2 linked regions of the Callithrix jacchus genome follow. The protein of the gene in region 2 interacts with the protein of the main gene of each other region in a pairwise test. Links are inferred from orthologs where the notes say so. Each region holds a gene or a part of one and is shown on either strand. Other genes may lie near its edges.

What was found.
Region 1: the proteins of TACC3 (region 2) and KIZ interact in binary tests that used the Homo sapiens proteins (3 or more experiments, as listed by UniProt). The two-hybrid records come from large-scale screens. The link is inferred for Callithrix jacchus from reciprocal best matches to the Homo sapiens genes TACC3 and KIZ.

Annotation. Positions count from the first base shown.
Region 1 is NC_133506.1:28,232,916-28,248,603, reverse strand, and holds part of KIZ (centrosomal protein kizuna), read right to left. Parts: intron 13,998-15,688; coding exon 13,904-13,997; intron 6,143-13,903; coding exon 5,977-6,142; intron 5,136-5,976; coding exon 5,070-5,135; intron 1-5,069. UniProt on the Homo sapiens protein: Centrosomal protein required for establishing a robust mitotic centrosome architecture that can endure the forces that converge on the centrosomes during spindle formation. Required for stabilizing the expanded pericentriolar material around the centriole.
Region 2 is NC_133504.1:191,399,986-191,416,206, reverse strand, and holds the end of TACC3 (transforming acidic coiled-coil-containing protein 3), read left to right. Parts: intron 1-2,932; coding exon 2,933-2,985; intron 2,986-3,329; coding exon 3,330-3,433; intron 3,434-4,487; coding exon 4,488-4,578; intron 4,579-4,793; coding exon 4,794-4,898; intron 4,899-5,931; coding exon 5,932-6,008; intron 6,009-6,096; coding exon 6,097-6,140; intron 6,141-8,407; coding exon 8,408-8,568; coding exon of another isoform or gene 8,569-8,736; exon of another isoform or gene 8,737-9,943; intron 9,944-10,382; coding exon 10,383-10,489; exon of another isoform or gene 10,490-10,495; intron 10,496-10,573; coding exon 10,574-10,694; intron 10,695-10,792; coding exon 10,793-10,858; 3' UTR 10,859-10,981; downstream 10,982-16,221. UniProt on the Homo sapiens protein: Plays a role in the microtubule-dependent coupling of the nucleus and the centrosome. Involved in the processes that regulate centrosome-mediated interkinetic nuclear migration (INM) of neural progenitors.

The sequences.
Region 1 (15,688 bases), on a different chromosome or scaffold from region 2:
AGATCAGCCTGGCCAACAGGGCAAAACCATCTCTACTAAGAATACAAAATTAGCCAGGCATGGTGGAACACACCTGTAATTCCAGCTACTCAGGAGGCTGCGGCACAAGAATTGCTTAAACCCAGGAGGCAGAGGTTGCAGTGAGCCGAAATCATGCCACCACAATCCAGCCTGGGTGACAGAGTGAGGCTCTGTCTAAAAATAAATAAATAAATAAACAAACAAACAAATAAATAAATAAAATAAAATAAAATAAAATAAAAGAGGTAGAGTAGTGAAATGGAAGAAGTTCAGGGACCCAAATCCCAAAGTCTGAGTTCAATTCAAAATCTATCACACTAACTACACGGCCTTGAGCAGACACCTTTCTAAGTTTCTGTTTGACCACTTGTAGGGCAGTAATAATGTTTACCCTATAGGACTGTTGTGAAGCTTAGAGATGAGGGAGGCTTAGCGAGGGCAGGGATCCCATCTTCTGTGGTCCCTGGTATCCCAGGATTCAGCCCAAGTAAAAGTATTAATTATATTAATTAATACAATTAAGGATTTTATATATGATTATAACTAACATATGTATCAATACATCTAATTATATATTAATTATATACAGAAAACCATACATTTAGAGACATAAAAATTCATCTTTGATTTCCACCAGATTCTTTAGTGAACAACAACTAGACTAATAAAAGGGGTAGATTATACTCACAACAACAGATCATACAGGCTATGGAATACTGACTTTATGTGTGTAGTTGGGGCAGCAGTGTGTGACCAGGAGAGTTTCTATGTAAATCTCAACACAGAAAACTCACATGTTCCATAATAATGATTAACAAGGCAGATGCCTTCAAAGTGATAGCTGACTCTTTAAGGAGGAGCCCCTCGGCCAAGATAACCTCCATTTGGGGTGATGAGCAAATGAGAAAGGAAATGAAGACACAAGAATGCTGGCACACTGTATTCCATTTAGCAAAGAGTAAGAAGCACAGTCCCTTGGCATTAGAATGGATGTCAGGGGTCACAGAAACAAGAATTCCTTCCAAAATGCCTCTTTTAGCAAGTCACAGGGCCAGGCAAGGTAGCTCATGCCTATAATCCCAGAACTTTGGGAGGCCAAGGCGGGCGGACTGCTTGAGCTCGGGAGTTTGAGACCAGCCTGGTGAAATCCCGTCTCCATAAAAAATACAAAATTATCCAGGCATGGTGGTGCATGCCTGCAGTCCCAGCTACTTGAGAGGCTGAGGAAGGAAGATCACTTGAGCCCAGGAGATAGAGGCTATAATGAGCTGTGATCACACCAATACACTTCAGCCTGGGCGACAGAGCAAAACCCTGACCCTGTCTCCAGTATTGAGAAGACTGGTGCCCCCACTGGACTCACTGCTTTAAAAAGTGTTCCAAAAAAAAAAAGTCATGGTTCTTGCCATGGTTCAAGCACTCACATCTGGAAGGTATTGAACCTGGTTTTGCTGAAATGAAGAGCTAGAAAGTTGTTTTGTTACTGAGCTACTCTCTATAATTAAGCTCAATAAATATTCTGCCTGGTATATGGCAGCTCCTCAAATATTTAAAGAGCTACTGTGCACTTACTTCCCAGGTTAAACCTCCCCAGGACCCCCTCATTCTGATAACGGTGACTTCACAGCCTCCCACCCCAACCCCCTGTGACTTCCCAGATTTCACCTCAGCCACGTCTTCTCTTACACTTCTTCTGAAATGGCTAAAAAGCAAGTAAAGACACACAGAAGGACCCCACACTGAAGAACGGCACCTCTGGGCACCTTTAGTTACGTTAGTTACTACCGTAACCTCCTCATCAATTCAAGGAGAAGCGGTAACGAGCAGCTGTCAGTCATAACATCTGAGTGTAGTTACACTACAGTAGCCCCAAACCTCACTACAAAGCAATCTCAGCCACAAAGGAGCTTCCCACAAAATGAAACCATAGGAACACTTTGAAGATAATTTTAGTGTATTGAGAAGACTGGTGCCCCCACTGGACTCACTGCTTTAAAAAGTGTTCCACATATATGTGTGTATATTTTACAAAGGATGCGCCACAGAACATTAATTCTGTTGGATGTTAGGAAGAGTTCTATTTTCAAAAACATAAGTCATCTCAAACTCTAGGATCACACTTTTAAACAATTCCTTTGCTGAAAGTCGTCTAAGTCTTCACTATGCTTCTATGCATTATGCATACTGCAGAGAGAGAGAAGGGTCATACAGGGCTTGACAACAAAATATGTTAATTGATGTATTTTCTGAGTGGAGCATTGCAAAGAACACATTTCGGGAAATGCTGCATTAGCTCAATACTTGTGGGGCAGCACACTCATCAGGGGAGGTCTTCCACCTGATACCCTACGTCTTCCACTATGAGTACATAGGGGTTACCAAGGGCCCATAGGCACCCCCAGGCAGAGATGTCTGGGCCCTGACTCATGAGATCTTCAGGAGTACTTCAGCAGCTGTTTGGGATTTTTCTCAACGGATTTCCTCAGGGGACTAAGTGGAAGTTGGAAGTTGGAAAGTATCATCAAACTCTCCTTGAGATTCCTTTTTGATAATGTAAACATCCTTCTGGATTTGAATCTCAACTGTGTTCTCAAGTGGCAATTTCTTGCAGAAACTAACATAGCAGGACCACCGGGAAGTACTGTCTTGCAGGTACTGCAGCAGCGCTGTGCCTGCGTGGGTCCTGGTCCCAAGTGGCTACCACAGCTCGGGGAAGGCATGCAGGTCCACAGGAACAGACTAGAAATGTCCACTCTTCTGGGGCGGGGGGGTTCATCTGTCACGCTGCACCCCCATACTCTCTGCTTCTGTTCCTCTTTCAGTTTGCTGTGTGAGGCTTCCTCATAGCTGGCATGGAAATGCGGGGGATTGCGGGGGCCACGGAAGACCGAGAACTCTAATCATGTTCACATGAATATTATCCTACATCACAGATAAAATTGAGTGTCTAGTATCTGCTCGGCACTTTCACAAATGATTTCATTTAAACTGTAAGATAATTCTGTTGGGCAGTATGTCTGCTTTCCCAATACAGAGGCTCAGAGAGGGTGGAGAAACAGAGCAAGGAGTAAAAGAGCTGACAATGATGGCTCGTTCCAAAGCCCCAGCCCAACTGCTACATTTCCTCAACCCCCAGCAATATTTCTTTTCTTTGGAATATTCTAGAAGGAATGCAGCCCATACATACACATCCAGCATGCACCCGCCCAAACAGGAAACCCCAGCAGAACTAGTATAAAGAGGCAGGCGGACTCCGCCGTAAACTACGTGCTCGCTTTACTCGACCGAGAGCCAAATCTCCCACAGTCACAGACGTTTAATAAAGGGATGATAGTCAGGACCTCAGAGACCAAAGTAGCCACAGTGATGGACAAAGCAACAGTATTAGCAGTGCCAAGGTGCATGAGGCCCTCAAACATGAATGTCATGGGACGTCCCGGGGTGGGGAGAGTGCACTGGCACGGACAGAACGGCAACACTTTAACAAAGTGTATGGCTTTGCTAATTTTTTTTTTTTATTTCAAAAGGTTTTCTTTTTGTCTAATATTTTGGCACAAAATAGGCACAACACATTTTTTAAAAACTGCCAACTATTGATTAATCAATGGCAGGTTGTTAGAATTACAATTTCTTTTAAAATCTTAATGGCAAATAGCCCAGGTTGCTTCTAGGCATACTGCACATCTTTCTGCATAATGGAGGATTTGAAACCCTGGTACTTAACTAACGGTTTTCTTACAAAGAAAGTCTGTGAGAAAACACATTTGCATTACCTTTAGGGAGAGTCAACTACTCCCAGCAAGGGATGATTGTAAAGAATGGTGAGAAGAGAAGAAAGAATGAACAACTACGTCATTTCCTGGTTTCTCCTCAACAAGCTTTTATAATTTTAACTGAAATAAATCCAGAGGCCATTAGATACTTCTGCATCCAAAGGTAAACGCAAGGGAAAAGCATCCAAACGACTTCTTGGTTATCTGTAGTTTGGGATCATCTATATTTCTATTAATAAAAATAACAGGGACCCATATCAGATTTTTCTGAAAATGAAAACTAAAAACACTATGAACATATCATTGGGGAAAATGTTTAAAATTATAAAAAACCTGCATTTTGGAGTGAAATATTATCTGGATGCATAATATGTACAATAATTGTTCTTCCATAAACTCCGTTTTCAAAACCAGAGTTCATCACAGGAACATGAGTTTAAAAAATTAATCATCATGCCAGGAACTGCACTCTGCCATAAAAGCAAATCATTCTTTTCTGCTTACAAACAAAAACAAAACTACCACATATGCAGATGCATGCCTCAGTACCTTGATGCAATGGTGTATTTACTTGTATAAATATTTAAAGTCAGACCTTTGAATTTATAATGAAGTAGTACACCACTTTACAAAACAAGGTACTAGTAAATTCAGACTATGACAAATAGAACTCTGTACAGAATACTAATTGCTGCTGTTGATATTCTAAAAAGAAAAAAAATAATGATATCATTCAGATTCCACCTAAAAAAGCCTAATACATGTGCAGAAATCTTAATAGGTCTTGATGAAGCCTGATTGGTACAACTTTTAAATTATCAGACAGGTTTTTAACTGAGGCAAACGCAAGCTTCCTATTTGGCATTTTTTTTCTTAATTTCCTGCTCTTATTTTAATATACATATTCAATTACAACAGGAAAAAAAAGAGTAAAATCAGACACATCTATAGTTTGCTATGTAATGACTGGGTGTTCCCCAGGGAGATGGACCGTTTCACACAGACGCAGGTGCAAAGGGTGCGTGCTGGTGGATGTTACAGATGTAAATACGTAACACGGTGAGGAAGAATTCAGCAGACACGGTGATTTTCCACCTTAGTTTATGTTAACATAAGCATTTACGTTCTGCCCTTATGACTGATCTCCTGCTCCAGCACGCAGTAGCTGAATACACTTGCTCTTCGTGGGGTCCAAAAATCACTAACCAAAAATGTTCTGATTATACAACAATGCTAAATTCTGTGTTTGAACCTCTTATATAGCCATAGCTTTACCTGTGATTGGGATATCTGCAGCCACATTTTCTTTCTTGTTCTTGTCTCCACAGCCACTTGAAACTTCTAAAAATTGGATGTATAGTAATAAAAATGATTTCAAAGTTAAGAAATAGATCCTTTGGATGTTTAATTGCCATTCCTTTCATGTTCACTTTTTTTTGTTGTTGTTAATGTATTTCTTGTCTGAAATAACACTGTTACTAAAAGGAAACCTATTCTAAAATTAAGGCATCTCATAAATGAAAATTTAAAAATAAAATTAAATAAAGGTACTCTATGTTGCTTTCATGCAAAATAATTTGCCCTGACATCTATCAAATCTGGGTTAGACATGAAATAAGCAAGTCTCACATCCTGCACTTCTACATCGACTCGAGCAATTCCTGAGGAATTCATAGCTGTCTTGGAAAACCACATGTCTTAGCAGTAATGCTAAAATAATAACAGTTTCTGGGTACTCAAAACTGGTTAGTAAATTTTGGGGGCATAAATTCATTGATTCTTAATCAACTGTTTGGATACTGACAAGGTTCTATTACAACTAAAAGGTATGTTTACAATTATGAGTAAATTCCACTAAGTGATATCAAAAACTTCACAGTATTTTATGGAATCATCTTCATCTTTGTGGGAAAAAAATTATCTACTGCCAAGTGATTAGTTTTGTTAAGATTTCCCAATTTCTTCATACTTATTTTGTTAGAAAGTCACTAGAACTACAGACTTACAGTTAGATTTCCCATTCCTGTTAGACTAAAGGGAAGATGGTATAAAACAAATAACATATTATGCATATTAAAATCAGAGGTATTCTCTAGTCAGTGATAGTCCATAGGTATACCTCGAGAAGGATGATGGTCCTGAATGCCTTTTTGCTGTGGACACACACTTTAACAATAGTTACCTTGTTCCCTTGTAGGAACACTGTGGAGCCATACAGCAGGTTTAGCTTCCTTCACTCCACTATTGTCATTCAGAATAGATGACAAGCTGCAAGATGATTCACTACTGTGAACAGTTGACCTATGGCCACACTCTTCTGTAAGGGCGTTTCTCAATAATGCTGTTGCCTATAGTATTTCAAAAAAAAAAAAAGCACAAAGAAATAAAAAACTGCAGCCACATTTCCCTTGGTCTCAAAGACGTAGCCTTCAAATATAATTTTATGTTAAGCTTTACTTAGGATTTAATTTGTTTCCTACATTTAAATAAAATTTAAATGTCAAGATAAATAACACCTGGTCATTTTCTACTATAATCTAATTCCTTGCAAGTTACCCTCACAATAATACACTTTTTGAGGGCTGAATCTTATATAATGCAGAAATGTTTTTCTGCTTGTGAAGTATGCATATGAAATGTGACTACCTCTGTTAATCTGGGCAGGTTTATCCTCCCTTTGATATATATAAATGGCAGAGCCTCAGACCTCCTTTCTGAAGAAAAAATTTATTCTGTCATTACATGAATCCTATTTTCCAGGCATGTCAGACAGAATTACTCTGAACCGGGAAAGAGATCTGGAAAGATGTGACCTTGCAATATCCATATCCTCCTAAAAATGACCCATACACTTCCCCTAAACAAGAAGACTGCAGAAACATTTGTAACTGAAGAGGATGCACTGAGCACAAAGATAGCTGCCTCATTCTAAATCCCAATCTTCAATCAAGTACGAACATGGTCTGCACTTTGCCTCTAAGTTGGCGCGGGATCTGGGGGAACTCTCCCACCACATTGCTTATCTGTTTTCAAAGGCATTGTCTTACTTACATACATCATGTGTCCTGAGCAAGGGTGAGGACACAGGTTTTTATCAGAGCCAAATTTAGAGGTGGAGAAAAGGCAACTGCCTTTAGTCCTGACATCCCTGCAGAGTTCTTGCCTTCTGCCCTCCCTAGGACTGGCTGACCTCCTGGACCCATGGCCTACCCTAGGAGCTAGAACAGCTGATTAGGGGAATTTAAGGAGTTCTAGTCCCCTTGGCCAAAGAACTTGGTGTCAAGTTAGCCTTGCAGCCAGGACCTTTCTGTGGTACAGTTCTAGTGACCAGGGGCTTTTCCTCTGTTTCCAGAAACTACTCCCTGGATTTCACTCCACTGTGATAACTCTGTTGGGATGACCTGCTCAGTATGCCCATTTCTGCAGACTAAGGGGAAGGCATAGGGTCCTGCCTTTGAAGCCTAGGCCAAGGCTGGTTACAATCAATGCCCCCCCTCCCAATTGCCTACAAGGACCACTGCACTGTACCTGCTTCTGGAATCTACCATGAACACCTTTCCAATGAGTCCCAGTATGCTTGGTAAGAATACCGCCATTGCTAACAGTTCTACACTGAGCCCTTTCTCCATGGTGAGGTAAGCACTGTGGCGAGCACACTGCACTGCTAGTTTAGTTTACTTTGCATGCAGACACTCCTTGACTTTATGAAGGAGTCACATCCAATACACCCACCACAAGTTGAAAAAACGGTAAGCTGGAAACGTATTTAACACACCTAACCTTCTGAACATCATAGTTTAAGTTCTGCCTAACTTAAACTGCTCAGAACACTCACATTAGCCTACAGATGGGTAAGACAAAGCCTATTTTATTATAAAATGTTGATTTTCACATGGAATTTGTTGGATACTATACTAAAAATGAAAGATATAATTGCTGTATGGGTATTTGCAGTATGGTTTCCACTGAATGCCTATCACTTTCACACCACTGTGAAATCAAAAAGTTGTAAGTTGAACCACTGGAAGTCTGGGACTATCTGTATTTTATCCCATTTATCTTTACTACTCAATACTTATCTCCAGGATTTCTGTTACTTTTTTGATAGAAATGTTTATAAAAGAACATATCTTTTAAGATAATTCTATAGATAATTCATCAAAGATGATAAGCAGGGACAAAGACAAAAGTAGCCTCAGACAAGGATAGACAAGAATAGGTCATAGATTTTTAGTCGAAAACAACTTCTTTTTGAGACGGACTCTCATTTCTCGCCCAGGCTGGAGTGCAGTGGTGTGATTGCAGCTCACTACAACCTCTACCTCCCAGGTTCAAGTGATTCTTGTGCCTCAGCCTCCCAAGTAGCTGGGATTACAGGCGTGTGCCACCACAGCAGGCTAATTTTTGTAATTTTAGTAGACACGGGGTTTCACCATGTTGGTCAGGCTGGTCTCGAACTACTGTCTTCAGGTGATCTGTGCTCCTTGACCTCCCAAAGTGCTGGGATTATAGATGTGAGCCACTGCGCCTGGCAAAAACAACTTCTGCAGTCAGGAAAACATCTGTAACACATTCTCAAGATGTACTGTTTGCAGATGTTCCAGAAAAGTACATTTCTAAGGAAACCTCCAATATGAAGGAGATTACAATCTGAGACTGATGACACTAACCCACAGGGAAGCTCAGAGAAGAGTTAACAGGTTGCTTTACTAAATTTCATGCTGGGACTCAATGAGTTCTGCAAATTGGTGCTAATTCTCTGAAAAAATATCACCAGACAACAATTTTACCACAGGCTTTCTGATAGTGCTTATGAATGACCAATGCATGGGTTTCAACTTACCTGTTACTAATAAAGGCTCTCTTTGAATCATGTACATTCGGAGCCCAGAAGAGATAACCAGAGATTGTTTCACTGTTCTCAGCAGTCCAAAGCCTAAGTCAATACCAACAAACCACCCTCTCACTTTTCAGCCTTCCCAGGAGTCAGGAGAAAGGGCTTGGAAATTAAATGTCAGGGCACACACTACTTGTGGAATGACTGATGTTGATACCTCCATATTTCAGACATTATGGCAGATAAATCGTTCAATGAATTATACCTACAGTGCTATTCCTTTAATTATTAGCTCAGTTCTACCAGAATTTTCCTCCATGTTCAGTTTAAGTATTAATCTTGCTATGTCTAGAACCCCAAGAATCATCTAGGCTGACTCTTAAATTATATCCAAAAATTGAATGGTTGTGATATTCAAACATACAGACAGACAGATGAAGATATTAATGGAAACGACATTGTGTCCAAAACACCATTAAGAAAAATGACAGAAATTAAACTGCTAAAAATATTGCAACAAAATGTCCAAATTTATATGTTAAAAGTTTTTGCAAGTCAATAAGAAAACATATTACTAACCTAATGGAAAAATGAGCAAAGAACATGAGCTGGCAGATTATGAAAAAAGAACTACAAATAGCTAATAAATAGGTAGAGAAAAAGTTTGACCTCAATTGTAATAAAAAGGTCAAATGAACAACAAAAAAATTGGATGTCATTTTCATCTCTCAAATTGGTGCCCCTAAAAAAAAAGTTGATAGTATACAATTTCATAAAGAACTCAGAGAAATGATTTATTCATCCATTCCTGGTAACTCTGATGACCCTTCTAGAGTGAGATCTGGCTATGCATAGCAAAACCCTGAAAGATATACCCACCTTTTGACCTAATAATTCTACATCTAGGAATTCATTCTAAGGAAATATTATAGATATCTGTAAAATCTGAATTGCACAGATACTCTTGGAAACTTTTTTACTAGAGGAAAAATTAGAAAATGTTGAACAACAGGTAAATGACTGAAGTGACAGTAGACCTCTAGAAAGCCATTTGAAATGATGTAAATAGAACAGGTAATGGTATGAAAGAATTCACCTTGCAGCATATGGGGATAAACAAAACAAGGTGATGTGTACAAATAATGCAACCTATGTTTTTCAACATACTGAATTTTTTTTTTTCTTGAGACGGAGTTTCACTCTGTCATCTAGGCTAGAGTATAGTGGCACAATCTCGGCTCACTGTAACCTCCGCCTCCCAAGTTTAAGCAATTCTTGTGCCTCAGCCTCCCAAATAGCTGGGATTACAGGTGCGTGCCATCATACTAATTTTTCTATTTTTAGTAGAGATGGAGTTTTGCCATGTTGCCCAGGCTGGTCTCGAACTCCTGACCTCAGGTGATCCACCCATCTTGGCCTCCCAAATAAATATATTAAATATTAAAAACCACACATCATAATGTTAACAGGGTTATATATAAATAGCAGAATAGTGGGATCATGACCAGTTTTCTTCTTTTTGTTTACCTTACTATTTCAAGATTTTTTAATGCTTGTTTTTAAAAAAAAAAACATATGCTAGCTCTAAAGAAATCCAATTTCTGCTATTCATGGTACCAATACAAAGAGAAAATGAATGCAAATGCACCTGATAAAATGAAATTCCCTTCTATGTGCAAACCAGTGTTACTAATACAGACACAGAAAAGTAAAATAATTAAAAATCATGCATGTGGACAGCAGATATTTTCCCCTAATATGCAGATTTAGCTGACTCTTCCTTGAGGTTCAAGAACATTCCTTTTGGACACTGGAAGTAATTCCTTGGTCTTTAAAGAAAAGTGCAAGCATCATTACTTAAGTTCTAAGTTAAAGGGAATGAAGGGATTTTATCTGTGTAGCAATTTTTTTAAATTGGGAAGATATTTATATGACCTAGCAAATAAGTATGCAGGAGATAAGAACAAGAAAACAGTCCAGCATTTGGGGAAAGCATCTTCCTGGTGAATAAAACTGGTCTGTGTGTATGGTGAGGGCAGGACCCGATCTACTCTATGAGTGTCACCAGCAAGTTGCTCTGCTGTGACAAAGTTCTCCAGAGTGGAAACAGATATCCATTGGGAGAAAAGTAATATTAAGGCATTTTGTATTTTAATGAAACACCCAACTCATTTTTTCTCCACAAAAAGTAATTACAAATTTTTCTGATTTAAAAGCATGCAGCTCAATTATGTAATTGCCTAATGGGTTATGCGGGCACTGTGGACCTTATCTGGTCTCCTGGGGACATAATCTGAGTTTCTACGGCTTTGATGATGTATTTACTCAAGAGAAGGGATTGACTCGCTGACAGCACAGGGACCCACAGGTAAACATCATTTACATGCGGCTTTTTAATTAGCCATTTACCCAAGAGATCAAAAAAAGTATTTCTGAGCTTCATTAGACTCTTAGCTAAGGAGTTTCTAGTAGAGCTTTTTTAAACTTTGAAAATCACTTACTTTTAAGATTTTATCTAAAGAGAGAGATTTAACCCTAGCATTTACTAAATGTGTACATGGTTTCAATACACAGAAACAACTCAAAGACACTTTATTTCACTAATTGAAAAAGAATGACATGTAAACCAAAACAGTTCTAGGACTTACAAAGCATTTGATCCTTAGGTTCACAAACCTGCCCTGCTTGTATCATTTTGTTAATATTGTTCTTGGGGCTGTGCATTTCTTCAACCACATCCTAACTGTACGAGAAATTACCAGTTTACTTCCATTTTTAAGGCTAGATTTTGTCATTAATGCATTGGTAATTTTTATGATTGTCACTAAAGTGACAATCACATTGTGATCATTAAAGATCACAATGATTTAAAAACCAACAAAGATCTATTATGGAGGCAGAATATAATTTGTTTCATTAGTTATTAGTTGGACAGCACCCCCTCCCATTATTGGAAAAATTACGAGTGGATTGATTGATTGGGACTTGGACCATGTTTTCTAATATAAACAATACCATTTTTAAAAAAAGATTAGATAGTAAAAGACGCCAATCAACACTTATTTTACCCTTAAAATGCCTGAGATGTGATATACTTGCAGTGAACAAGTATAAAAAATAATGGTGTTATAAGACAGTGCTAAATCAAAGGAACAATAAAACCCAAACAATATCTTTCTTAAGATCTACGTTCATCAGCCGGGCATGGTAGCTCACACCTGTAATCCCAGCACTTTGGGAGGCCGGGGGAGGCAGATCACCTGACGTCAGGAGTTTGAGACCAGCCTGGCCAACATGGTGAAACCCTGTCTCTACTGAAAATTTAAAAAAAAATTTATACTCTTGCCATGGTGGCATGTGCCTGTAGTCCCAGCTACTTGGGAGGCTGAGGCAGGAAAATCGCTTGGACCCAGGAGGCGGAGGTTGCAGTGAGCCGAGATCATCACTGCACTCCAGACTGGGCAACAGAGCGAAACTCTGTCTTCAAAAAACAAACAACAAAAAAGACCCACATTCATCAACAGAGAAGGAATTGATCTAGGTTATCTTTGAAAAGGGGCATGAAATCTGTAAGAGGCATACAGGGGGCTGTATCTATCTTTTTAATAATTTATTTCTTCCCCCTAAAGCAAAGGGGAAGGGAAGGAAGTTTGAGGAGAAGAGAGAGGAGAGAGAAAGAGCAGAAGAGAGAGAAGGTGGGTGAAGTTGGGGTAGGACACAAGGAGGAGAAAGGGAGTGGGGTTCGAAGATGAGGTAAAGGTGGATGATGAGAAGGGGGTCTGAAACAAATACGGTGCAATGGTAACAACAACACAGGTGAATTGGGTTGTGGGCACGGGATTAGTGGGTCCGTCCTATCACTGAATATATGTATGTGTGAAATGCTAAAAAACAAAAGTCCTGCTGCTCTCTTAATTGGAGTGGCAAGGAAAGAGGTGTCTGAGTAGGACTAAAGGTGCTCTCGAAGGCTGGAGGGGCAATTCTAGAGGCTTTAGACAGCATAGCTACGTGGGCATGTGACTTTAGGACAGACGCAGCAAGGTGTGTCTCCAGAAGGTGCAGATATATAATCCTTGAACTATGAGCATGGTAATAATAGTTTTTAAAACACCTTAAAAAGAATCAAAGCCAGAAAATTCTATATTATGTATAAGGATGAAAAAACATGCTTTGAAACAAGACATATTCCCCAGATGTTCAACCTAGGAGAAGAAAGGCTGTTTCCCTGGGTGTGGCTTTTCTAGGGAATGAGGACAGAATATGCCAAAGGACATGCTCTAAACTTGGGTTTCTAGTTCTTCCCTTCAGAATTTCCTTGGGAACTTGCTCCATCCATTTCCATTTTCCGTTCATCTTCAAACTCTCTCTTGGCACCAGCTCCCAAATCATGACCCTCCTTCCTCTTCCCTGAACCACTGCTGCAGGGCTCTCTCCTTCAATGTCTCAGTCCCAAACCAAACATGAAATTCCCTAAGAAACTGCAGAAATCCTATCACAGCTCTGTTCAAAAAGCTCCAGTGACTTTTCAAAAGGTACGAAAGTCAACAGTCTCCGTGGCCTGGCACTGGATGCTGCACAGCATGGCAAGAAACTACCTCTTGTGCTCCTTCTTACCACCCCCAGACTTGAGCCCACGCTTCGGCCTCAGGATGTCCATGTCCCCTGAATTATGTGTTGGGTTCCCCAGTGTGTTCTTTGGCTCATGGCAACCCTCTCTTGTCGCTTCTGCCCCCATGCAACTCATACCATCAAAAACCTGTCATTTAAGGGTTCTCTCAGAGTCATAGCTTGGCTCTCTTTCCTGAAACCCCTATTTTTGCCATTTTCTTGTTATATGCATCCCATGATGTCAGACCCCAGAAGGAGGGGCCATATTTTATTTGTCTCTTTCCCTCCGATGGATCTGGGCTGATATCTGTGTACAGTAATGGATCAATACGTATTTGCTGAATTGACGTGAATGACTAGATAGTATTTCTAAAGTATGGCGTGGAGACGGAAAACCCGAGTGTTATCTTATAGATGCCTCGATAGTTCTTGGAAAATGAATTCCTACATAAAACATTATGTAAAAGGCCTGAGGTCCAACCACAAAACCTCACTTACTACTTTTCTTACTGTTTTTTTTTTTTTTTTTTTTCAAATATAACATTTCCTCAAATGAGTAACTTGCACATCTTGAGATATATGGTTTTTAAAAATAAAAATTACTAAACTTGCCCTCTGGTCCACATCTGTGATCGGGAAAACTTCAGATAGTTTAGCTACTGACCTCTTCTTTGAGAGAATTATCCTGTTCTTTCAAGGTGGCAACATGCTGACCCACCTGTGTCCTCGGTCTGCTTGAGTCTGGTGCTTGTCCAGGTCTATAAAACAGAAACAGGACACTCACTATAGACTTGTAATATTATAAGATTCCCACATTTTTAAAGGCCTCAATTATGTTAGTAGAACACAGTTTATCCAGAAAAGTCTGGAACTCAACATATTCTGGACTAAGGGAGTTTGAGTCCAAGTATCTTTTTTTCTTTAAACTTTTAAAACCTTTGGTTATTATTTCATTGCTAAATAAGTATTCTCAACTTTTGCTGCACATAGAACAACCTGGGGAGCTTTGCACAATCTGGGTGCCTGATGCCACCCCTATAGAGTCTAGGAAAATTGGACTGGGGTGTGGCCTGGCCAATGGGATTTTTTTTAAAATTTTATTTAAAATTTTATTTAAAAATTTTAAGCTATTTATTTATTTAGAGACTGGGTTATGAAACTGACTAACTTTTGTATTTTTAGTAGAGGCAGGCTTTCACCATCTTGCCCAGGCTTGTCTTAAACTCCTAGTCTCAAGCAATCCACCTGCCTTGGCCTCCCAAAGTGCTGAGATTATAGGCATGAGCCATCACGCCTGGCCTGGTCAGTGGGATTTTTAAGGCTCACAGAGTGATTCTGAAGTACAACAATGGTTTTGAATCACTCAGAGATGATCAGTCTCCTACATGTAGCTAAGAGAAACAAATCACATCTTCATCTCAACAGCAGTTTTTGTTGTTGCTGTTGTTATACTCTTACCATGGTATACTTACAATATTTTTAAAATTAAGATACTAGGAAAGAGTTAAAAAGTAAGCCTATGTTGCTGCCCAGGTTGTGGTATTTATACACTAAAAGGAACCAGAGTTCTTTGAAGAAATGCCCTACTCAGGGCTGGGGCAGGAAATGTACAAGATGAACCTGAAACTTCTTGTTGTATCAGAAAGTAAGGAAGCTCTCCAAATTGTGTCAAAAGAACTGAAGACGGGGAGGGGGTACCTTGAGGAAGCTCTCGTTGTCACAGATGGGACAATTTAAACACCAATAATTGCAATGGACTCAAACACAGGGAATACAAAAAATCTACAAGTTTATCTAAAAATACAAAAACAAAACTTAAAAAATAAAAATCTTTGGATTCAGCCTTAAAAGGAAGGAAATCCTGTCACATACTACAACATAGATAAATCTTAAGGACATCGTGCTAAGTGAAATCAGTCAGTCAGAAAAGGACAAATACCGTATGATCTGACTTACATGAAGTGCCTAGAACAGTCAAATTCATAAGGACAGAAGTTGATAAGTGGGTGCTAGGGCCTGGGGGAAGGAAAAATGGGGAGCTGTTTAATGGGGATAGATTTTCCATTTTGTAAGATGAAAACGTTCTGGAGATCTGTTGTACAGCGAAGTAAAGATATTTAACACTACTGAATTGTACAGTTCAAAATGGTTAAGACGGTTAATTTTACATTTTTTAAAACTACAATAAAGACAAAATAAAAATAAATTTTAAAACCCTTTGGAGGCTGGTAGGGCAACAATTCATTATTCTGCGAATTGGTAAAGAAATAGAGTCAAGCATTTCTCCCACTTTTGTGGTAAAAAAAAAAAAAATGCATTTCGGAGTCACCAAGTAGTTTATAAGGGAAAGTTCTTCCAATAAATGCAGAAGAAATAATCAAATTAGAAAAGTCATCATTTTGTAAGTCCAAATTAATGAATTTGTCTAGGAAATTGTCATAATTTTATA
Region 2 (16,221 bases):
CACCTGTAGTCCCAGCTACTCAGGAGGCTGAGGCAGGAGAGTCGCTTGAACCCGGGAGGTGGAGGTTGCAGTGACCGAGATCATACCACTGCACTCCAGCCTGGCCACAGAGCAAGACTCCGTCTCAAAAAGAAAAGCCCAGGCACGCAGAAAACTGAAGTAACGTGTAGGGATGTTGGCTCGGCTGGGTTGGGCCTGTCGCCCTCGCGTGGGATCCCTGGAATCACACAGCGTGGCCTTCCCTGTCCGGCCTCACCCTCCGGGCAGTGTGTTTTCATGACCCGGCCTTGCTGGAGCAGGTATTGGTGCTCACGTCCTTGCTGTGGCTGCAGACTTCCTGTCTTTATTCATTCATTCATGGGTTTGGTGGTTTCTGCCTCTTAGCTGTCAAGAGTAGCACTGCCATGAATGTTCAGGTGTAAGTTCTGTGTGGACGCGTACTTCCGTTTCTCCTGGATGGGTAGCTAGAAGTGGAGTCACTGGTCACGGGAACTCTGCTTGCCTCTCAGCTGCTGGGTGGCTTACCAGAGTAGCCGCAGCGTTTCGCGTTCCGCCAGCCATATAGGAGGGTCCGGTGTCCGCAGCCTCAGCAGCGCTGTGTGTTGTGTCTTGTGGATCCTGGACCTCCTCGTGGGTAGGAAGCAGGCCTAGTGGTGGTTTTAATCTGCGGTTTCCGGGTGGCTCACGACATCCAAGCGTCTTTTTGCGTGCTGTTGGATATCTTTGAGAAAATGTCTGCTGAGATTCCTTGCCCATTGGGCCACTTATCTTTTCATTACTGAGTTTTATGAGATAAATTCCTTTCACTTAAGAAATGAAGAAAAGGAAAAAAAAAGCCCCTCATCAGATAATGTTTGAAAGTACTAGCTTTTGGCCAGGCACAGGGGCCCGCACTTGTGGTCCCAGCATTTGGGAGGCCAAGGCAGGAGGATCGTAAGACTGACCTTGGCAACATGGCAAGACCAGATCTCTACCCGAAAAAGACGTAAGGAGCTGGGCATGGTGGCACACGCCTGTAGTCCCAGCTACATGGGAGGCTGAGGTGGGAGGCACGATTGAGCCAGGAGGTCCAGGCTGCGGTGAGCCGTGATGGCACCACTGCACTCCAGTCTGGGTGACAGTGAGACCCTGTTTGAAGGAAAGGGGAAAACAGGGGCAGAAGTGAAAACTGACAACAAAGCTATCTGTAGCAGAGAAGACCTACAAGTCTTTTCTAGACCAAATAATTGGCAACCGTTTTTTAGCTTAGTTGAAAAAAGGAAAGAATGAGCAAAGAAATACTACTAGGTGTGAAGAGAGGGACAGAACTAGAGATACCCCGGCCTGGATCTCAGCCAGAGGGAGACCCGGCCTTTTTTTTAATGAGACAAGAGTTTCGCTCTTTGTTGCCCAGGCAGGAGCACAGTTTAAGCAATCCTCCTGCCCCAGCCTCCTGAGTAGCAGGGATTACAGGTGCGTGCCACTCGCTCAGCTCATTTATTTTGGGCTAATTTTTGTTTCTCGTAGAGACAGGTTTCACCATGCTGGCCAGGCTGGTCTCAAACTCCTGAGCTCAGGTGATCCACCCTCCTTGGCCTCCCAAAGTTCTGGGATTGCAGGCACGAGCCACTGTGCCCGGCCAAAGTTTAAGACTTTTAGAGGCTGATGCTAGAGGATTGCTTTTAGCTAGGTCAAGACAGCCCTGGCAATGTAGCAAGACTCCTCCACTACCAAAAAAACTAGTATGTCTGAGATAGTTTTCGCCTTCAGTTAGGTTTTTTATCCACTTTTGAGTTCATCTTTGTATATGGTATGAGGCACTTTTTTTTTTTTTTTTTTTTTTTTTTTTTTGAGATGGAGTTTGTCTCTTGTTGCCCAGGCTGGAGTGCAGTGGTGCGACTTCTGCTGGCTGTGACCTCTGCCTCCCGGGTTCAAGCAATTCTCCTGCCTCAGCCTCCCAAGAAGCTGGGATTACAGGCACACACCACCATGCTCAGCTAATTTTTTGTATTTTTAGTAGAGATGGGGTTTCTCCATGTTGGCCAGGCTGGTCTTGATCTCCCAACAGCCTCAGATGATCCACCCACCTCAGCCTCCCAAAATGCTGGGATTACAGGTGTGTGCACCACCTCGCCTGGCTAATTTTTGTATTTTTTGTGGAGACAAGGTTTTGCCCTGTTAGACTCCTAGGCTCAGGTGATCTGCCCGCCTCAGCCTCTACCCTTAGGGGATTTTGTTATCATTGCTTTGCTTTTTTAAAGGAGTCTTGCTCTGTCACCACGCTGGAGTGCAGTGGTGCAATCTCAGCTCACTGCAGCGTTTGCCTCCCGGATTCAAGCAAGTCCCCTGCCTCAGCCTCCCGAGCAGTTGGGGCTACAGGCATGAGCCACCACACCTGATTTTTGTATTTTTAATAGAGACAGTTTCACCACATTGGTCAGGCTGGTCTCGAACTCCTGACCTCAGGTGATCTGCCTGCCTCAGCCTCCCACAGTGCTGGGATTACAGGCGTGAGCCACCACACCTGGCCCACTCTTAACGTTTTTTTAACCAAAGGTTATATTATCAAAAATTAAAAGATTTGTCTAGGGTAATCTTAAAGACTAGAATTGTTTCAACCAGAGCAGTTTTGCCCCCTCCTTCCCCTAGATGCTTTGGTTGTCATACCTGGGGGTGCTGCTGGCACGGAGTGGGTGGGGGCTGGGGATGCTGCATGGCACCCTGCAGTGCCCAGGACACACCTGCCAGTGAGCAGTCAGGCCTGGAACACGGGCACCTCCGAGGAGGAAGTCCTCCTGTGCTGCAGAGGACCTTGGCCTGGGTCTCAATGAGACACTGCTGGCTGGAATGCTGCTTTATTCGATAAGGAACCATGGTCCTGCCTCACTGAGTCCGTTAGCCCTTGGGGCCCTGGTGTGGGGCGGTGACAGTGCTGTGACTTGTGCCCTCTCAGTTCTAGGCACAGGGGCAGAGGTGGATTACCTGGAGCAGTTTGGAGCTTCCTCGGTAGGTACTGGGCAGCTCTGCGAAGCCTCCCCTGCAGGGTGTGCTGAGGGCAGCCCCGACAGCTCTTCACCCTGGAACGTCCCCTGGTGCCCATGTTCCCCCAGCTGCACATGGGCCCTGGCCCTTCTGCTGCATCTCTAAGTGGAGTCCTATGGTTGTGGCCAGGCCCTCCCCCAGCACTTGCCTGGGATGAACTCTGACACCGTGCTGCTAGGAATGCAGGGCTTCGGGTGGGGTTGCGGTGACCGGAGGTGGGAGTATGTGTGTGACCTCCCTGGCCCTAGCCCCAACGTCTGTGCTAGGGGATGGCAGTCAGACCTGCTCAGTTGCCCTCTTGTCCCCAGTTTAAGGAGTCGGCCTTGAGGAAGCAGTCCTTATACCTCAAGTTTGACCCTCTCCTGAAGGACAGTCCTCAAAGACCAGGGCCCGTGGCCACAGAGACCAGCAGGTACGCAAGCCAGCCCTCCCCGGGCATGAAGTCTTGGGTGTAGGGGGACGGGAGGCTGTTCCTATGTGTGCTGTCTGCAGAGGCTTCTAGACCAGGGTGAGATGACCTGAACTAGAAAAGAGGCGTGGTGAGGAGCGGGCAGGGCGGCGAGCCCAGAGCAGCAGCCTCGTGTGGCAGGGGCCACATCAGCCCAGTGGGAGTGACAGCAGCCGCCCTCCAGTCACAGAGCTACTGCCTTGCTGGTTACAGCCACCTGCCAGGTGGATTAAAGAGCTAAACTTAAATGTTTTTAATGTAGCTCCTCTAAAGCAGAAGTCAGCAAACGATGACCTGTAGGCCAGACTTGGCACCTGTTTGTGTACATAAAGTTGTCACAGAACCATGCCCATCCCTTTGAAAATTGTGGCAACTTTCACACTACAAGGGCAGAACCAAGTAGTATGACAGAGGCCTGACACGGCCTGGCCAGTGGCTCACACCGGTAATCCCAGCACTCTGAGGCCGAGGCAGGCAGATCACAAGGCCAGGATTTCAGCACCAGTCCGGCCAACATGGTGAATCCCCATCTCTACTAAAAATACAAAACTTAGCTGAGCACGGTGACGGGTGCCTGTAGTCCCAGCTACTCGGGAGGCTGAGGCAGGAAGATTGCTTGAGCCTGGGAGGCGGAGGTTGCAGTGAGCCGAGATCACGCCATTGCACTCCCATCTGGGCGACAGAGTGAGACCCTGTCTCAAACAAAAAGAAAATGAGCCTCCAAGCTGTGAGGGCCCCCAGATGAGGCATCAGCGGCCCCACTCAGCCTGCAGTGGGTAAGGAAGCATCACAGCTCTCCAGAAGGATGATCCGCCTTGTGGATGGGGACGTGAGGGAAGGGCTTGGGGCAGCAGAGAGACCGGGCCTGCTGGACGTGGGCCTGCGTTTTCTGCCACCGTCCTGACTTGAGTGGTTTAAACTAAAAAGCAAAGAGCCCGGTTGGCTTGTCCGCATGGTCCTCTGTGTCCTGCTCAACACTGGGAGGGCCTGAGTGACCGAGGCTGCCTCCACTTGGCAGCAGCACGCACGGTGTGGAGGAGCCTCCCTCAGGAAGTCCGCGGGAAGCCACCCTTGTGGAGTTGGATTTCTTGGGAGCACTGGATGCTCCGGTAAGTACTTCAGTCCCTCTTGAACCATCCACCTTGTGGTCTGAGGAGGCAGGTTGTTTTAGGGCCTATATTTCCTATTCCTGGGGGTCTGAAGTCTTTGGCTCTGTCATGGGTCCCCCACTGCACTGTCTGAGGCTCTTCCCTCCCTCACACCAGGTCAGAGGTACGAGAGGCAAGGGTGAAATGGGCTCATGGTTCATCCCCATCTCCCACAGGTTCCAGACCCACCCCCAGGTGTCCCTGCACCTGGCGGCCCACCCCTGTCCACCGGGCCTATAGTGGACCTGCTGCAGTACAGCCAGAAGGACCTGGACACGGCGGTAAGGACACAGGTGGTGGCTACTCCACAGAACCTGCAGGCCACTCGGGCTTGGCCAACAGCAGGCACAGGTGGGGTCCAGTGGCCTGACCAGCTGTCCCCGCCATCCCTGCCCCTGCTGGTTGGGGTGGCATTGCAGAGAGCTGCTGACCCCTGGCCTGTCACTGCTGCCCAGGTCACTGAGGCTCCAAGCTTCCACCCAGTGTCCCCACAGCCAGCTGCCCACCGGCTGCCTCCACAGGGCTCTCCAGCCTGAGCGTGTCATTCACCCCAGCAACCTCTCGCTGCGTTAAAGCTGAGTGCTGCCCCTTCCTGCTGCCCTTCCACAAGTCCAGACGCATCTCTGGGCAGCTTAGGAAGCGCCATCTCCACCCGCCCACATCTGAGGGTCCCCTGCCCGTCTCCCTCTATCCTCCCATACACGCCAGGCTTCAGCCCGTCCTAACTCCAGGTCTAAGTTGTCCCTACGAGAGCTGTGGGCACCACTGTGAGCCAGATAATCCCTGGGGAGGTGGGGACAGGGTGGCTCCGGACGCTGGCGGCAGGGCTGGGCACGAGCCCCCACATCTGAACCAGTGTCGGTCACGGCAACCCCAGGTGTCATCTTGGGCCTGTGACACGATCCTGACCCGGTTCCCCAACACCCCCTTCCTGGTGTTGGAGCCCATGCCGTAACCCCAGAGCAGGCTTAAGGACCACAGCGTGGCCAGCCCTCCCCTCTGCGGGCCTGGGCTCCCCATGCAGGTGGCCCCTGGGGGGTGGACGCAGGGACACACACCCGCTGGGCGCCTGCTGGTTCTACCCAGGAGCACAGCCCACAGCCCCATGCCTCCTGCCCCCTGGCGACTGAGCACATGTGGAGCAGGCAGCCTTAGCGTCAGTGGGGCTCCCAGGGTCCCGCTGAAGGCCCACATGGAACTGCGGCTCTGGACATTGCTCCAGGGACGTCGGGGTGGGCCGGCCCCACGCTGTGGGGAGGTCCTGGGAGGGGTGTCCAGCCCGCCTGCCTGCTGACTCAGGTGTGGCCTGAGCAGGTGAAGGCGGCACAGGAGGAGAACCAGGAGCTGAGGAGCAGGTGTGAGGAGCTCCAGAGGAAGAACGTGGAGCTGGGGTAAGGAGGCCCCGCCTGCCCCTGTCCCCACCCGGCCTGGGGCTGCGGCGCATCTGAGGCCATGGATGTGTCTGCTCGCCTCCCACAGGGTGATCATGGACAGGTTCGAGGAGGTCACATACCAGGTCATGGGTAAGTGCCAGGCCACCGAGGACATGAGGGGCTGCCTGCACCTCAGCCATGCCCTGCCCCGCACGCTGCCTAGGGCCCCACTCTCCTGAGGCCACTCTTCCTAACCCACAAGGCCCTTCAACATGGCCCAGCCATGGAACCACGAGGCAAGCTGGGGGGAAGCTGGCGGTCGGTCAGTGCAGCTCACGGATCCACAGAGCCAGCCTTCCTCAGACCCCAAATCTGTGCAGATGCTGAGCTAGCAGCAGGGCTGGGGTGGGGGCAGATGCCACCCCACACCTGCTCACACCTGTTGCCCTCCTCTCCTCCTGGAGGCTCACACCTGCTGCCCTCCCCTCCTCCTGGAGGCTCACACCTGCTGCCCTCCCCTCCTCCTGGAGGCTCACACCTGCTGCCCTCCCCTCCTCCTGGAGGCTCACACCTGCTGCCCTCCCCTCCTCCTGGAGGCTCACACCTGCTGCCCTCCCCTCCTCCTGGAGGCTCACACCTGCTGCCCTCCCCTCCTCCTGGAGGCTCACACCTGCTGCCCTCCCCTCCTCCTGGAGGCTCACACCTGCTGCCCTCCCCTCCTCCTGGAGGCTCACACCTGCTGCCCTCCCCTCCTCCTGGAGGCTCACACCTGCTGCCCTCCCCTCCTCCTGGAGGCTCACACCTGCTGCCCTCCCCTCCTCCTGGAGGCTCACACCTGCTGCCCTCCCCTCCTCCTGGAGGCTCACACCTGCTGCCCTCCCCTCCTCCTGGAGGCTCACACCTGCTGCCCTCCCCTCCTCCTGGAGGCTCACACCTGCTGCCCTCCCCTCCTCCTGGAGGCTCACACCTGCTGCCCTCCCCTCCTCCTGGAGGCTCACACCTGCTGCCCTCCCCTCCTCCTGGAGGCTCACACCTGCTGCCCTCCCCTCCTCCTGGAGGCTCACACCTGCTGCCCTCCCCTCCTCCTGGAGGCTCACACCTGCTGCCCTCCCCTCCTCCTGGAGGCTCACACCGCTTCCCCCTCCTCCTGTCCTGGAGGCTCACACCGCTTCCCCCTCCTCCTGTCCTGGAGGCTCACACCTGCTGCCCTCCTCTCCTCCTGGAGGCTCACACCTGCTGCCCTCCCCTCCTCCTGGAGGCTCACACCTGCTGCCCTCCCCTCCTCCTGGAGGCTCACACCGCTTCCCCCTCCTCCTGGAGGCTCACACCTGCCGCCCTCCTCTCCTCCTGGAGGCTCACACCTGCCGCCCTCCTCTCCTCCTGGAGGCTCACACCTGCCGCCCTCCCCTCCTCCTGGAGGCTCACACCTGCCGCCCTCCCCTCCTCCTGGAGGCTCACACCTGCCGCCCTCCCCTCCTCCTGGAGGCTCACACCTGCCGCCCTCCCCTCCTCCTGGAGGCTCACACCCGCCGCCCTCCCCTCCTCCTGGAGGCTCACACCCGCCGCCCTCCTCTCCTGGAGGCTCACACCCGCCGCCCTCCTCTCCTGGAGGCTCACACCCGCCTCCCTCCTCTCCTCCTGGAGGCTCACACCCGCCGCCCTCCTCTCCTGGAGGCTCACACCCGCCGCCCTCCTCTCCTCCTGGAGGCTCACACCCGCCTCCCTCCTCTCCTCCTGGAGGCTCACACCCGCCGCCCTCCTCTCCTGGAGGCTCACACCCGCCGCCCTCCTCTCCTGGAGGCTCACACCCGCCTCCCTCCTCTCCTCCTGGAGGCTCACACCTGCCGCCCTCCTCTCCTCCTGGAGGCTCACACCCGCCTCCCTCCTCTCCTCCTGGAGGCTCACACCTGTTGCCCTCCTCTCCTGGAGGCTCACACCCGCCTCCCCCTCCTCCTCTCCTGGAGGCTCACACCCGCCTCCCCCTCCTCCTCTCCTGGAGGCTCACACCCGCCTCCCCCTCCTCTCCTGGAGGCTCACACCCGCCTCCCCCTCCTCTCCTGGAGGCTCACACCCGCCTCCCCCTCCTCTCATGGAGGCTCACACCGCTTCCCCCTCCTCCTCTCCTGGAGGCTCACACCGCTTCCCCCTCCTCCTCTCCTGGAGGCTCACACCGCTTCCCCCTCCTCCTCTCCTGGAGGCTCACACCGCTTCCCCCTCCTCCTCTCCTGGAGGCTCACACCCGCCTCCCCCTCCTCTCCTGGAGGCTCACACCCGCCTCCCCCTCCTGTCCTGGAGGCTCACACCGCCTCCCCCTCCTCCTGTCCTGGCACTGGAGCCCCTTGCCGCATTCCTGGGGCTGTGTTGGCACTCTGTGTTTCAGTCTCCGCCTCCTGAACGTTTGCTTTTCATTTCTCAAGAGGAGGTTCAGAAACAGAAGGAACTTGCCAAAGCCGACATCCAGAAAGTTCTACAAGAAAAAGACCAGCTGACTGCAGATCTGAACTCCATGGAGAAGTCCTTCTCTGACCTCTTCAAACGCTTTGAGAAACAGAAGGAGGTGATTGAGGGCTACCGCAAGGTACGTCCCCGCCACCCGGTGTCCTCCCCGCAGAGGCTGGCAGGCTCACGGGCCAGGCCAGCGGGGCTGCCAGGTGCTGTCTTTGCACCTCTGTTCTTGGCCGAGCCTCCCCTTGTCACTCGGGCCTGGGTAACTTGTGAAGACGCAGGTGCAGGAGTCACAGCCTAGCCGGTTTGCAGAAGGCCAGGTGAGCGGGAGGCCGTCTGAGTTCCTGCCGCCGTGTGAAGGATGACTTGGCTGTGACTGAGTGCCTGTGAGATGCGAGACTGCGTGGGTGCACCGGGGTATGGGGCATCTCGGAAAGGGAGTCAAGCCTGGGCTGTTACAGCGCGACCTGGGCATGTGTATCCCAGGCAGGAGGCCCACACAAAGGTGGGCACACTGTGCCAGGCTACCCCAGTGTCCTGGCCGCAGGCCTCTGAGCCCCCTCCGCCTTCTGTGCTGGGCAAGGCCCACAGGCTTGCTGGAAGGAGGGATGTCTGGGCCACCCATCTGCCCGGAGCAGACCTGGGAGGGGCTGCGAGGCCGCCAGACGCTTCTGCCCTCAGCAGCAGAGTTGGAGCGGAGGTGCTCACCGCCTGCTGTCAGGAGCTGGGCCTGTGGGCACACCTGGAAGAGGGGCTGACAGTGGGGCTGCAAGGGGTTGGGGATGCCAGATGGGGGCCCTGGAAGTTGAACTCGGCTAGAACAGGGGCCCTTGTGGGGCCTGGCTGAGCCACACCTTCTCTCAGTCCTGATGTCAGGTAGGCGCCAGTGGCCGGGGCACAGCTGCCTAAGAGAAGCAGCCTGGAAAACTAGGAAAGAACCTACGGAAAACCACATCTTCCACCTTCAATTGCTGCTACAGAGTTTTAGATCAGTATCTGGCACAGAATCACTAGGTATGAAAGAAACAGGAAAGGTGATTGAAGATCAGAACCAGCTATTAGGGTGAGGCATGGTGATGTATGCCTGTGGTCCCAGCGACTCAGGAGGCTGAGGTGGGAGGACCACTTGGCCCAGGAGGCCGAGGCTGCAGTGAGCTGTGATTAGATCCCTTCACTCCAGCCTGGGCAATAGACCCAGACCCCCGTGTCTAAAATAAAATAAAAAAAAAAAATGTTTAGACCCACGGGATTCCCAGGCGTTGGAGCTGGCGGCAGAGTGCCCACCGCAGGGGTGGGCCCCTCACATGGTGCCACTGGCTTGAGGACACAGCAGCTTCACTGGCCTTCCCTCAGCTTGGGCTGTGCTCCGAGCTGCTGTCCTGGCCTCGCCTCTCCCCGGGGCAGGCCTGCGCCTCCATTCCCGCCGGCCACCTCCCCACTTTCTCATGGAGGCCTCTTTGTACATCTAAACCCATCATGGAGGACCCAGTGCAGACTCAGACTTGAAGGTAACTGTCTTCCATGTTCAGAAGAGCATTGCCGGGCTCGCTTCGGCGCATAGAAGAAAATCGGGGCCGGGCGCGGTGGCTCACGCCTGTAATCCCAGCACTTTGGGGGGCCGAGGCGGGTGGATCACAAGGTCAAGAGATCGAGACCATCCTGGTGGGCACGCGCCACTGTGCCCAGCTAATTTTTTGTATTTTTAGTAGAGACGGGGTTTCACCTTGTTGACCAGGGTGGTCTTGATATCTTGACCTCGTGATCCACCCCCGGCCTCCCAAAGTACTGGGATTACAAGCGTGAGCCACCGTGCCCTGCGAGGGGATATTTTTAAAGGAAAACTGGAGGTGCTGCCTCATGACTGGTGACCCACAGGTCCCTGGACACCAAGCCTGGGTGCTCTCGCAGATCATGTGGTGCCCACAGCTAATGCCTGCCCCTTCCTAGAATGAAGAGTCACTAAAGAAGTGTGCAGAGGATTACCTGGTGAGGGTCACCCAGGCAGGCCAGAGGTACCAGGCCCTGAAGGCCCACGCCGAGGAGAAGCTGCAGCTGTGAGTGTTGGGCCCACAGAGGGAAGAGTCTGGGCACCTGGGCCCAGCTCAGCTTCTGCCCTGCCCCTGCTCCTCCTCCTCCAGGGCAAACGAGGAGATCGCCCAGGTCCGGAGCAAGGCCCAGGCGGAAGCATTGGCCCTCCAGGCCAGCCTGAGGAAGGAGCAGATGCGGGTCCAGTCACTGGAGAGGACCGTGGAGGAGAAGGTGGGTGCGGGGAGCCTGGCCCATGGGGCCCTGTGGCAGCAGCTTCTGGAAGGCCCCTGGGCCTGCTGCTCCCTCCCTAACTCATCTTCCTCCTCCAGACTAAAGAGAATGAGGAGCTGACCAGGATCTGTGACGACCTCATCTCCAAGATGGCGAAGATCTGACCCAGAGCTGCAGCCCCTCCTGTCTGTCCGTCTGTCCAGTTCTTTTAGGTGTCGTTTTCTTGTTCTGTCTAAAGCTAGATTGCTTTGAAAAGATGACTAAATAAAGTTTCCTTTTGGTGTAAACTGAAGCTGCTCTGGTCTCAGTGAAGCAAAGGGTTCTCTGCTCGGCCTCAGGCAGGGACCGCCAGTGGCTGGAGGCGGCTCAGGCCTGCCCAGTCTACCCCTGCCAACTTGGGTCAGCCACACAGTTCTGGCATCAAGTGCACCCATCAGTCCAGACAGACAAAAACCGTGAACAGCCAGGCGTGTGTGATGCTGGAGCCGCCCTGGAGAGCCTCAGCCCCAGCTAGCTGCGCCTCACCTCGGTGTGGGTGCGGAGGGAGGCCCCTGCGGTGCAGCCGCTCAGCTCCCATCAGCCTTCAGAGCAAAGCCGGCTTCCCTGAGGAAGTCCCGTCTCCAGATGGCAGGGTTTCCTCCCCAACCCCCAGCCCCATCTCCAGCAGCCCCGTCCTGCAGGTCTCACACTTGCACAGGTGCACTGGAGCTCAGGCCACTTCCAGGAGCCCTGGCAGAGTCTCCGCCCAGCTGGGGAACCCCAGGAACTCTGGGCACAGAGCTGAGAGATGCTGGCTGCCAGGTTCAGCCATGGCACCTAGGACCCTAGCACGAACCAGAGGGCCAGGACCTCCTAGGGCTGGGTGGGACTGAGAGTGACCGGCAGCTGGTGGTGCTGCTGTGTCAGAAATCCCCACACAGAGGGACTCAGGCCTACATCTGGCTGCAGGAGTGTCTGAGCCCGGGGGTCCCAGTCCCAGGACCTGTTCCCAAGGCTCTGTAAGCTGCCCTGTAGGCCTGGTGAGCAGCAGCCCAGGACTGGCCCTCGGTTGGGCACAACATCACTCCCAGCCACCGCCAGGGGTCGCTGCCACCACAGACCACGCAGGGACCGGACCAGGTGAGTGACACTCTGGAGGGCGGGGCCGGGGTGCTGGGAAGCCACGTGGACCGCCAGGGAGGCTGAGGAGCAGGCGGGGCTTCAGCCTGGGTGGCCACTGGGGTGTCCCCCGGGTGGGGAGGTGGGTTCTTGCATATTTGGAGGAGGGACCCTGGCACAGGGACAGAAGGCCACAGCAGCAATGGCCAGGCATGGCTGGGGCACAGACTGGATGGGCCTCAGAGGGCTCTGGGAGCCATTCCTCTCTCCCGCCATGGCCACCCATGCTCATGCAGCACCTCCTGACGGCCTCATGGGACCATCGCACCCCTCCTCTCCCCAGCAGGGACCCCCCCCATCTCAGCCCTGAGCCTGGGTGACGATAGGGGGCAGTCCTTGGCTGAGAGCCTCTGAGGGCCTGCCACGGCCACTGCACAGACAAGACACTGAGGCACAGGCCAGTGACCATTGGCTGGGGGAGGTGGGCCAAGCACAGGGTGAGGTTCCCTCTCCTGCTCAGGGCTGAGGATATGGGGGAGCAGCAGGGCCCTGGAGCCTCCAGAGGTCACCAGCTGCCTCCCCACTGCCACAGGCACGTCCGGCCTCAGGGCTCCCAGCTCCCTCTGCAGGGTCAGGTCTGCTCTGCTGAGGTCTCAGGACACGGGGCAGCTGCCAGGTCCTCCTCAGCCCTGCCGCTCTGGCCTCCTGGCTCCTCCGACAGCTGCCCAGGGCCCTGTCCCCCACTGGGGCCTCTCTGAGCCAAGCCTGGAGCCTGCTCTGAGAAGGCCATGTGGGGCAGCTGGACGTGTCGGGGCAGCCGGCCGGGCCTGGGGCTGCGCCGAGGACACCGGCCACCGGGCAGCGTCCTGGGCTGGGAGCCTCTTTCCCAGGACAAAGGGGCCTTGTGTGGCTGAATGGGTGTTTATCCTGGAGCCTGAGTTAACTCAGGGCTGCGAGGCCGGGTGGGGGCCCTGGCAGTGGCCTGCCTGGTAAACATGACCTGAGCTGGGCATGCAGCCGTGGCCTGGACTTCCGCAGCCCGGACCCCTGCACGGCCACGAAGTCGCCCTGTGGGCCTTCCGCCAGGACGGGGGCTCAAGGAAACAGGAGCTGCCCTGGGATGGCCTCTGTGGGAGTCCTCATGCACAGTCCTGGAGGCAGCGCTCAGCTGGCTCTGCCCTTCCCACAGCTCAGGGCAGGGCTCAGAATCACTCCCAATGTGCCCCACTGAAGGGAGGGGTGAGGGTTAGGTGAGGTTGTGAGGGTGAGGCCCTGGTCTGCTGGGATTAGTGTCCTTTCGGGAAGAAGGCGGACCGGGACAGTACTTTGGAGGCACCGACCCGCCAGCACCCTGATCACGGACCTGGCACTTCCAGAACGTGGAGAAACGCGTGTCTGTGGTGCAAGCCGGCTGGTCTCAGGCAGGACGAGACCCCGTCATCCAAGGGGCTGCCCAGCCTGATGCCCACCCACTGCCCAGCTGCCCCTGCAGCCAATATCCGAATCCCAAGGGCAGAGCAGGGTTCAGCCCCACGTGGAGAAGCCAGGTCTGTGAAGCACCCCCGCCCCTCTATCCCTAGGAGTAGAGTCCGCAGCTACCTCCCTGGGCTGGTCAAGATCCTTTCAACAGGGTCGGTGGAGCCGCATCGCCAAGCTGACTCCCACGCTCCCGCTCCCCAGGGCTCGCAGGCCACGGGGCTAGATGGAAGAGAGGGTGGGCGGAGAAGGAGATAGGTCAGGACAGGCTGAGCACAGCCCGAGCGTTCCCTGCCAGGTCCTCGCTGTGGCCATCACCCTGCCCTGGCCAACCTGAGTACACCAGCCCCCAGGCAGACTCAGGTCACCCTCCCATGGGCTAGGGGGCTGTCCCCAGTCCAGGCTGAACCCCAGACCCCTCTAGGTCCCTCAAGGTCCACGGCAGTGAGGGTCACTACAAGCCCAAGTGGGTGCCAGAGGTCCCTCCTCCAGCCCATCACTCCACCTTCTGGGAAGGACGCCAGGGTCGGCACTCAAGCCCAGGCTCCGGGCTGCCCTACTGGGCTGAGCAAATGTCCTTTGTCTCTCTTCTGGAGGTCTGCAGGGCAGGAGCACTTTGGGGGAAAGCCCTGTCCCCACAGGGCTGGGGCTGGACGAAGTCGGAGGAGGGCTTCTGCCTGAGCCTGGGCCTTCTTTGGGGTGCACTCAAGTAGCAGGGTTCTCACCGCCTGTGCGGTGGTTGGAGGGGTTGAACCTGTGTGCCCTGGCTGCCCCGGTGGTCTGGGGAGCCCAACTCCTGGGGCTTCTGCCTGAGCCTCTGGGCCCCAGCAGCCTGCAGGGGGTGCCATTGGGCCACCGGAGCCCCTCCTGTGGACCTGGCGCAACAGCGCTCAGGCCCAGCCATCCCCACCGCCCCACGACCGGCCTCCAGGAGGGACCCCCACCCTGGGACGACGAGGAGCCACCTGGGCCTCCACCTGGCCTCCCCACAGGGTCTCCCCACTTGCCCCCTCCCCACCTCCTCCCTCCCCACCAGCCCCTCGCAACCAGCCTCCTCCCCACCTTGCCCCCTCCCCACCTGCACCCTCCTTACCTGCACCCTCCCCACTGTGCCCCCTGCCCACCATGCCCCCTTCCTACCAACCCCCTCCCCACCTCCTCCCCACTAGCCCCCTCCCCACTAGCCCTCCCTGCTGCTTTACCGCCCCTCTGTCCCCTGGACCCTGTGCACTCATCAGGCCCCTGGAGGTTTATGGAGGGCAGGGCTGGGGGCAGCACACCAGGCACCCTCACAGGCTGGGGATCTGGCCTAGCCTGGTAGGCGGACTGTAGGATGGGGGGTGAGGGCTTAGAGCCCCTGCTGGCGTCGGGGGTGGTGGGGCCCCTGCCCTGTGTCCCCTCTGTCCCCAAACCCCATTACACGTAAGGCCCCACCTGGCTGAGCTCACAGGGGGCTCCGGAGCCCACTCTGCAGAGAGAGAGGAGGGGGCGGGGGTGCACTTGTGTTTGCTTCTGAGGGAGACCGGGCTGAGCAGGGCTGTTAGTGAGACACTCAGGCCCGGGGGCTCCGGGCTCCCATGTGGGCCAGGGGCTACCTCAGCTCAGGAGTGGTGGCCCAACCACTAGGTGTGCAAAGGTCCCATGTCCATCCACACTTAAGAGACCTGGAATGTGAAAGGCACTCAGGCAGAGCCACGGTGTGGGCACCATCCTCAAGGGGGTGTCTGCAGAGGTGCACCGGTGTGGGCAGAGCCGGGGTGACCGTGAGCCCAAGGGGTTCCCAGAGGGAGTTTCTTTCCAGCCTGGGGATGGGTCCAGGGCAGTGCTGAGGAGGCCAAGCTGCCAGCATCCTATAGGGCCCAGCAGCAGAGGGGAGTGCGAATGGCTGGGCTTGTGCCCAGGACCCACCCCTGCCCCTGCATGCCCAGCAGCTGAGGCCACACCTCGCCTCGAGCATCCTGACAGCAGGGCCCACTTGGTGCCAGGCAGTCCCAGCTGGGGTGGGGTAGGGGCCATACAGCTGGCCCTGGGTAGATCTTCATCCCGACCCCCCACACCCACCCTGGAGCCATGTCTCCATCTGCCAAGGTGGGGGGAGAGAGAGAGAGGAGGGGGCAGAGCCCTGAGATTCAAAGGTTTCCCCACACACAGTCATTTGTTCACACATCAAACGTGTGCTGAGCGCAGTCTGTTCCCTGCACTGTTCCAGGTCCTGGGCATGGCGGGACCGACCAGTTGCAACAGCTTGTGAGAATCTTCTGGCTTGGGGTGGGGTGGGGAGCGGCAGTGAGAAGAAATCAGAAAACACACAGGTGCAGGCACACACACCCACTCCATGGAGCCTGTCGGCTGGTGACAAGGCCACGGCGGCTTGGAGGGTGAGGAGAAGAGGGAGTGGGGGTCTGGGGTGGGTTCCAGGTGCTGCCCTGTGGCCAGAGGGGTCCTGCTGCTCCCGTCAGTGTTCTCCCCGGCCACACATGGGGGATCACCCACCTCTGTCATGCTCTGCACCAGGGCCCCGACAAGTTCAAGGCCGGAGCAACAGGGCGGTTGGCCTGGTGGAGCCGGTCCCAGGCCTGCTCAGCCCAAGTTCCCGTGGTGCAGGGCTGCGTCGGAACTGGCTCAGCTCACAGGAGCAGATGGGAGCTACATCCGTCCTTCGAGGCCAGTGGCTAGGCCAGCTCTGTGCTCACTCTAGGACCGAAAGTGGCCCTGTGCCCTCTCTGTCCTGGGCCCAGCAACCTTCAGGCTCTTCTGGACAAGGAAGGAGGCCTCATTACCCCCAGGGCCCACCCACAACCCCACCCCAGATGGACTGGAGCTGTCTGGTGGCTGGTCCTACGCCAGGCCTGGCAGCCCGGGCACCTAGTAGGCCCAGGGTGGGAGCACTTCGAACACACACCGCACTGGGGAGGACACGAGGAATGAGAAATATGCAGTTGAGCCGTGCACA